Lonchura striata: one gene and its partner. The protein of the gene in region 2 binds, or shares a complex with, the protein of the main gene of each other region. Links are inferred from orthologs where the notes say so. Each region holds a gene or a part of one and is shown on either strand. Other genes may lie near its edges.

What was found. Proteins that work in one complex are often made in the same cells at the same time.
Region 1: the proteins of CDK5R1 (region 2) and CDK5 are in contact, whole or in part, in a crystal structure (PDB 3O0G), measured with the Homo sapiens proteins. The link is inferred for Lonchura striata from reciprocal best matches to the Homo sapiens genes CDK5R1 and CDK5. Residues at the interface, in NP_003876.1 of Homo sapiens: Trp190, Gln193, Thr197, Pro198, Ala199, Phe203, Tyr231, Leu232, Ser235, Tyr236, Met237, Gly238, Asn239, Glu240, Ile241, Ser242, Tyr243, Pro244, Leu245, Lys254, Glu255, Trp258, Asp259, Cys261, Leu262, Ile265, Asn266, Ser269, Ser270, Met272; in NP_004926.1 of Homo sapiens: Leu37, Asp38, Glu42, Gly43, Pro45, Ser46, Ser47, Leu49, Arg50, Ile52, Cys53, Leu54, Lys56, Glu57, Val69, His71, Leu76, Arg120, Asn121, Val122, Leu147, Arg149, Ala150, Phe151, Gly152, Ile153, Pro154, Arg156, Cys157, Tyr158.

The regions. Positions count from the first base shown.
Region 1 is NC_134603.1:156,839,870-156,843,583, forward strand, and holds the start of CDK5 (cyclin-dependent kinase 5), read right to left. Parts: upstream 2,720-3,714; 5' UTR 2,709-2,719; intron 2,697-2,708; exon of another isoform or gene 2,672-2,696; 5' UTR 2,624-2,671; coding exon 2,587-2,623; intron 2,459-2,586; coding exon 2,370-2,458; intron 2,274-2,369; coding exon 2,206-2,273; intron 2,073-2,205; coding exon 2,012-2,072; intron 1,920-2,011; coding exon 1,863-1,919; intron 1,769-1,862; coding exon 1,673-1,768; intron 1,341-1,672; coding exon 1,266-1,340; intron 1,156-1,265; coding exon 1,059-1,155; intron 980-1,058; coding exon 910-979; intron 504-909; coding exon 443-503; intron 368-442; coding exon 287-367; intron 46-286; coding exon 1-45. UniProt on the Homo sapiens protein: Proline-directed serine/threonine-protein kinase essential for neuronal cell cycle arrest and differentiation and may be involved in apoptotic cell death in neuronal diseases by triggering abortive cell cycle re-entry. Interacts with D1 and D3-type G1 cyclins.
Region 2 is NC_134627.1:2,692,206-2,695,919, reverse strand, and holds CDK5R1 (cyclin-dependent kinase 5 activator 1), read right to left. Parts: upstream 2,347-3,714; 5' UTR 2,311-2,346; coding exon 1,417-2,310; 3' UTR 22-1,416; downstream 1-21. UniProt on the Homo sapiens protein: p35 is a neuron specific activator of CDK5. The complex p35/CDK5 is required for neurite outgrowth and cortical lamination. Involved in dendritic spine morphogenesis by mediating the EFNA1-EPHA4 signaling. Activator of TPKII.

The DNA of each region.
Region 1 (3,714 bases), on a different chromosome or scaffold from region 2:
CTCCTCCGCCGAGATCCGCTGCACCGGATTGCACTTGAGCAGGTTCTGGGGGGCACGGGGGGCTCAGGGGGGAGAGCACGGACCCTCCCCCTCCCACAGCCCACCCAGGCGGGCAGGGGGCTGCAGGCGGGAGGGCACCCACGCCCAGGAGCCAGAGCCCCCACGGGGTGGGCAGGGGTGACACGTGTGGGGGACGCTGCGGTGGGACAGGAGCAGGGGAGTGCAGGCTGGGAGACACACCCAGGGTGGGGGGCACGGGAAGGGGAGCACAGGGGAGGGGTCTCACCTGCAGCAGGTCCCGGCCAGTCGCGTTCAGCTTGGGCACCACGTTGACCAGGGAAGTGGTAGCTGGGTACATGGGGTAGGGCTGGGGACACACAGGTGACCCCAGCTCCCCCAGACCCCCTTATTTCCTCTGACCCCCCGCGCCCCCTGCCCTCACCTTGTAGTCCGGCAGCTTGGCCATGGCCGGCCACTGCTCCTCCGTGGGGGTCCCCAGCAGCGTGGGGACAGTCAAGGGCCACCACGGGGGCACCCAGCACCTGGCCCTGCCCCCCTGCCCAGCCGAGGGGGTTCCCATTTCAAGGGATCCTCATTCTCAGAGCTCCCCATTCCGCAGGGGATTCCTATTCTGCAGGGCTCCTCCTTCCCAGGGGAGGTCTGCATTCCCGAGGGCTCTCCATTCCAGGATTTCCCCAATCCCCCATTCCAGAGGGATTACCATGCACAGTGCTCCCCATTCTCAGGGGATTCCCTATTCCCAGGGGAAGTCCCCATTCCCAGGAGGAGTCCCCATTCCCAGGGGAAGTCCCCATTCCCAGGAGGAGTCCCCATTCCTTTGGGTTCCCCATTCCCTGAGCTCCCCATTCCCAGGCCGTCCATTCTGGTGCTCCCCATTCCCAAGGATATCGGAAGATCCTCTTCAGCTGGTCGTCCACGTCGTTGCCCGGGAAGAGGGGCCGCCCTGCGTTGGCCAGTTCTGGGGGGACAAGGGGTGGTTCCCACAGGCCCCCATGGCCCCCCAGGCCCCCCTCCGCTCCCCTGGCCCCCCAGTGTACCTGCAAAGATGCACCCGGCTGACCACATGTCAATGGAGGTGGAGTAGAGCTTGGCACCGAAGAGAACATCGGGGGGCCGGTACCACAGAGTGACCACCTGCGGAGGGACAGGGACACTGGGACCGGGACACGGGACCCCCAGCCAGCTGGGCAGGGCCAGGACCCCGGGCCCCAGCAGCCCCAGCAGCCCCAGGAGCCCCCGCTCACCTCGGCTGAGTAGCAGCGCACAGGGATGCCGAAGGCCCGAGCCAGCCCGAAATCCGCCAGCTTGAGCTCCCCGTTCTGGGGGGACAGACGGGGTCAGCGTGGGGGGCCCCACCTGCATCCCCTGCACCCCAGGACTGTGGCCCTGTTGCCTTTCTCATCATTGGGAACAGGGGAGAGATGGAGCTGCAGCTGTGGCTGGACAGACACCAGGTGTGGCTGCCAGGACAGACAGACAGACAGATAGGCAGGCAGCCCCCATTCCCAAGTGTGACCCCTGAGCACAGCCCCGCTCCCAGGTGTGACTGCCCAGGACACACAGACAGACAGCCAACCAGCCAGCCCCATTCCCGAGCGCAGCCCCGCTCCGTGCCCGGTCCCGGCTGTTCCCCGTGCTCCCGCCGCCGCACCCGGTTGATGAGCAGGTTCTGGGGTTTCAGGTCCCGGTGCAGCACGTTGCGGCTGTGGCAGAAGGCGAGGCCCTTCAGCAGCTGGTACATGAACGACTGCGGGGGCACGGGCGGGCTCCGTCAGCCAGCCCGCGGCACCGGGCGGGGCAGGGCCGGCACCCCGGGGGCTCCCCGGGACCCCCGGACCCACCTTGACAATCTCGGGGTCCAGATCCCCGTTGCAGCTGTCAAAGTATTTCTTCAGGTCCTGAGGGAAGCGAGGGGGGCCGGGAGCGGTGACCCTCAGAGACCCCCCCGGACCCCCGTGCCCCCCCGGACACCCGTGCCCCCGGAGCTCACCTGGTCGCAGAACTCAAAGACCAGGGTCAGCTTCTTGTCGCTGTGCAGAACGTCGTGCAGCCTGCAGGGCAGGGGTTCCTGAGCCCCGCAGCGCCTGGCCGGGCCCGGGGCACCGGGCAGGAGCATCCCCCGAGCCGCGACGCCGGTACCCGGGGCCGCCCGGAGCCCCCGGGGCCGCCCGGAGCCCCCGGTACCTGACAATGTTCTTGTGCTTGAGCTCCTTGAGCAGGCAGATCTCCCGCAGCGCCGAGCTGGGCACCCCCTGCGGGACACGCGGGTTGTGGGAGCCGGGGCTCCCGGGGGTCCCGGGGGGCGTCCCGGGGTCCCGGGGGGATCCCAGCCCCGGCCCCCCCCTCACCTCATCATCGTCGTCCAGCCGCACTCGCTTCAGCGCCACGATCTCGTGCGTCTCCCGGTTCTTGGCCTTGAACACGGTCCCGTAAGTGCCTGCGGGAATGGAACGGGGTCACGACCGAGGCCCCGGTACCCGTGCCGACACCGCCGCCGGGCCCCACAGCAGCGCCGGGCCCCGCGGCAGCACCGGCTCCCTCCGTGCGGCTCCGGCCCTGCCGCACCTTCGCCGATCTTCTCCAGCTTCTCGTATTTCTGCATCGCGCCGCGATCGGTCGCGGCCCCGCAGCGGCCCCGGTCCCGGTCCCGGTCCCGGCCCCGCCGCGCCTCCCGGCAGCCCCCGCGCGCCCCGCCGCGCCTCCCGGCGGCCCCGCGCGGCCCCGCCCCGCCGCGCCTCCCGCGGGGCCCGCCCCCGCCCCGGGGTTCCGGGTTCGAGCCCCGGCTCCGCCCGCCGCCTCCCCGCCGGACCCCCGGCTCCCCCCGCCGCCCCCCGCGGGACAGCGCCGCTGCGCGGGCGCCCGGTGGGGATCCCTTGCGGGGACGGTCTCCGCGCTCGCTGGGTCGGTGCCGGAAGCGGTGCGGACCCGCCCGGTGCCGCCCCGCCCCGGCGCGCTCCCGCCGTTCCGCCCCGCGGGAACGCGCAGACCCGCCCGGCGCGGCTGGACCGTCCGGTAAGCAGCGGCACCGGCACCGGGATCGTGAACGGAGGTGGTGAGGCTGGCGGGGCTCAGCACGGCTGGTCCGGTCCCGGTCCCGGTCCCGGTCCCGTTCCTGGTCCCGTCCCAGTGTCCCCACCCTCCCGGTGCCGCCCGTCCCAGTCGGTGCTGTCCCCGGTCCCCGCACGCTTCTCTCACCGAGCCCCCTCCATTCCACTGCCTCCCCGCCCGCCCGCGGCAGCTCCGATCCCGGTCCCGGTCCCGTCCTGCCCCGCCCTGGCAACCCCAGGTCCCGGCGCGGCCGCGGCTGTGCTTCTCCCAGTTCCTCCCCGGGGCCCCTGCCGCGCTGGGGGGGTTCAGGGGGGCTGTGCCGTGCCCCGGGACTCCGGTTCTCCCGGCACATGCTCCGGGTGCCTTGGCTCCTTCGGCTCCAGGTGGAGCAATGCCCAGCCCGGGCATCCCCCAGGGCCACCCCGAGACCCCTCCCGGACACCCGGGACCCCTCCCGGCCCGCAGCGATGCTGCCCGGGACGTTGAAGCTCGGCCGCTCTCCGCCGCCACCGGAGCTCCGCGCCGGGCGGTCCCAGGTGCCCCCGGAGCCTGCTCTCGGGGTGACGCTGGATCCCGGGGGCACGGGGGAGCCAGGACCCCGCATCCACCATCGTCCCTCTCTTACAGCGAGGCCGCTCCATGCGC
Region 2 (3,714 bases):
AAAGACTCGGCCACGAGCCGCTGCCGTGTAATGGATGGTCAGTGCATTTTTATTTAATCAGCACAGTACAAAAATAAATAAAAATAAGGGGAGGGGATTAAATTACAGGCACACTGAGCCCCATGACACAGTCGGTCGGGTTATAAACCACACATACTTACAAACACACTATACACATACATACAAAATGAGACAAATATAAATTAATAAGTAACAATACCCATCAATTTGGTCAACAAAGATCTACAGAAGAGATTGCACTAAAAAAACGTACGTACACATGTATCATTAGCAGGGTCCAATGTACAGCCATGAAGAGCTTCAAGTGAAAAATCAAAAATAAAAATAAATGGCACGTTATTTCTCCCTCTTGTTCGCCAGTTTAACGCCCGATGGACCAGAACTAAACTAGAACTGAGCACACGGAGAAAAGAAAACGATAAAACCCAAAAAGAAGGTCTCAGTCCCCAGGCCTGATACGGGAATACCAGCTCGAGACTGCGGTGTCGGGGTGGTGGCGGGTCTTTGTGCATGGGTGTAATTTTACAGCCATCTCTCGTTAAGGTTTTTCATTTGATTATTATTTTTTTATGCGTTTTTTCCTTTTTTTTTTTGTTTCCCGAAGACACAAAATGCTCCTGTTTGCATGCGCAATACCACTGGAAAAGCAACAATGACAGAAGAAAGAAGGGTTTTTTTCTCTTTCCCCCCCGCAGGTTTGCAGTTCGTTGGGTTTGTTCTAGAAGAATTCATATAGCAGCATGTGGCGGCTCCCCTTGCTTGCACACTCAAGTAGATCCTTTACACAATACTCATGACCAGTGCACGATGGGAACAAGACATTTCACATTGATCTCATGAACAGTAGCGGTGATTCCCGTCACCCGGACCCGCTCGGGAATTCGAGTCTCTTCAAAGAAAATAAATAAAGAGGGGGGGATGAGGGAGGAAGGGGGGTGGGGGGGTCCCCGGGCCGTGCCCGCGTCTCTGTCCCGGTGCTGCCGGTGAGTCCCGACCGGGCCGGTTCAGCCGCCCGCGCTGGAGCCTTTACAGGATTTTTTTTCCCCCTTAATTTTCTTTTTCCCCTACCTGGGCTCTGTCTCGCTGATGCGGTGACCGGCCCCGCGGAGCCCCGCTCCGCTCCCGGGGACATCGGCTGGGGGGGTTCTCGGCCCCCCATCCATGAATTGCTGGGATCGAGCCGGTGGCGGAGCCGCAGCATCCCGGGCCCGCAGCGTGGGGAGGGGGCGGCGGCTGGAAAGCGGCGGCGCGGGAGGGAACCGGGGGTCTGCTCTCCGGTCCGGCGGCGGCCGAACCCCCCGTGTCCCCCCGGGGGGAGGCGGCGGCTTCCGCCCTTCCTTCCCCGCCGGGCAAAGCCCCCGGGAGCGGCTCCGGGGCGCGGGGGGCGGCGGGCGCTCACCGGTCGAGGCCGATGAGCAGCCGGCCCTTCTCCTCGGAGCCGCTCTCCTTCTTGAGGTCGGCGAAGACCTGCGTGAAGTAGTGCGGGTCGGCGTTGACCTGCAGCATCTTGGGGCTCATGAGGTCGATGATGGAGAGGCAGCGGTCCCAGAAGGCCTCCTTACAGCTCTCCACCAGGAAGGGCTTCAGCGGGTAGGAGATCTCGTTGCCCATGTAGGAGTAGGAGAGGTACAGGCAGGTGAGCAGCACTGCCTGCAGTTCGTGGTCACTGGCCACCTCGGCCGAGATGACGTCCCGGCACAGCATGTAGAGGAAGACCACGTTGGCCGGCGTGATGAAGCCCTGGTCCTGCCAGCCCTGCAGCAGCAGCGAGCGGTCCACGGAGCGCAGCCAGAGCACGGGGTCGGTGGGCGAGAGGTGCTTCAGGCGGTAGCAGCGGCGGCACAGGAACTCGCCGAGGCAGCGCAGCAGCTCGCTGGTGGACGCCTGCACCACGACCCGGCGCGGGGTGGCGGCGGCGGCGGCGGGCGCGGCCGGGGGCGCCTTCTGCGCCGAGGCGAGGGCGGCGGCGGCGGCGGCGGGGGGCGGCGGGGGGGCGAAGGTGGCGAGGTTGGCGCAGGAGAGCGACTTCTTCAGGTTCTCGTTGTTGAGGTGGGTCACGTTGCTCTGGTAGCCGCCGTTGGGCTGCACCTTCTTGGAGCTCTTCTTCTTGGCGGAGACGGCGGCGATGCGCTTCCAGGGCAGCACCGAGATCAGCGAGTGCCGCTTCAGGCCCTTCTCCTTCGCGTTCTTGCTGTTCTGCACCGCCGTGTAGTGCCCCACCGTGGCCGCCCCCTCCTCGAACAGCGGGGCCTTCCGGTAGCTCGGCGACAGCGACAGCACCGTGCCCATGGCGCCGGCCGCCCGGCGGGCGCCCGGCGGGCCCGCGCCGCCCGCCCCGGCCCCGGCCCCGGCCCCGGCGCGGCCCGGCCCGGCCGGCCCCGCTCTCGCTGCTCCGCCGCCGCCGCCGCCGCCGCTCAGCGCCGCGCCCGGACCCGCCCCGCGCCGCGCGCGCTCCCGCCGGCGCAGTGCGCGCGCCCGCCGCCCCGCCCCGCCCCGCCACGTGCGCCCGCCGCGGCAGCCGAGGCCACGCCCCCTTCGGCCCCGGCCCCGCCCCCGCACGGCAGCGGGCGGCAGAGCCCCGCCCCCATTGCCTTGAATGGATCGAGCCCCGCCCCCGCCAGCCAGGCCCCGCCTTCCGCTGTTTATGAATGGAGGGTGCCCCGCCCCTCCCGGGCCCGGGCCCGCCCCTCCCGGGCCCGGCCCCGCCCCTCCCGGGCCCGGCCCCGCCCCTCCCGGGCCCGGCCCCGCCCCTCCCGGGCCCGGCCCCGCCCCTCCCGGGCCCGGCCCCCGGGCGCTGCCCGCCTCGGGGTCCCGCCGGTCGCGGACCCCGCGGTGCCCCCGAGCCCCCGGGCAGGGCCGGGCAGGACCAGGGGAGCTGCCGAGCCCCCGGGCAGGGCCGGGCACGACTCGGAGGGAAAAAGAATAAAAAGCAACGAAAATAATTATTTAGAAAATCCCAAAATTAAGATTTAAAACCCTTCTCCACTGGCGTCCCGGAGCCGCAGCCCGGATTCGGAGCCGGGCCCTACAGCCCGCACCGCCCCCGGCCGCCCTTCGCCCCCGCTTCCCCCCTCCGGCGGTGCCTCCCCGGCTCCGGGCCGGGGGCCGCCACTCGCCCCGGAGCTACCGGGGCAATGAAATGCCCGGAACCGCGTTCTGAGGCCGGGCCGGGTTCTGGGGAACGCGCCTGCAACTCCCGTACCCCGCGGGTCCCACGGCTCCGCTTGGAACCGCCGCCCCCGCGCAGCCCGGGATCCCGTTGCCGCCGGACCGGGATCCCATTGCCGCTGGACCGGGATCCCGTTGCCGCCGGACCGGGATCCCGTTGCCGCCGGACCGGGATCCCGTTGCCGCCGGGACCGGAGCGGCGCCGGCCCGGGAGGCACCGGGCAGCACCGGCCCCGCCGGGCTCGGCGCGACCTGCAGCGACACTCGGAGGCCGCTCCGCCGCCACCGGGGCTGCCGGTCCGCTCCGGCCGCGGAGAGCGGAGCCGCCCGCGGGGGGACCCTGCGGCCCAGGAGCTGCTGCCGGCAGCAGCGGGGAATGCTCGGGCACATCCCGGGCCTGCACTGATGACCCAAATTCATTTCTATTCATTTATACCTATTTATGCCCTGCCCCGGACCTGCAGCTGCCAATCCCACTCCCAGAGCAGGGAAATATGAAAAAAAAACCCAAATCTCCCATGAGAA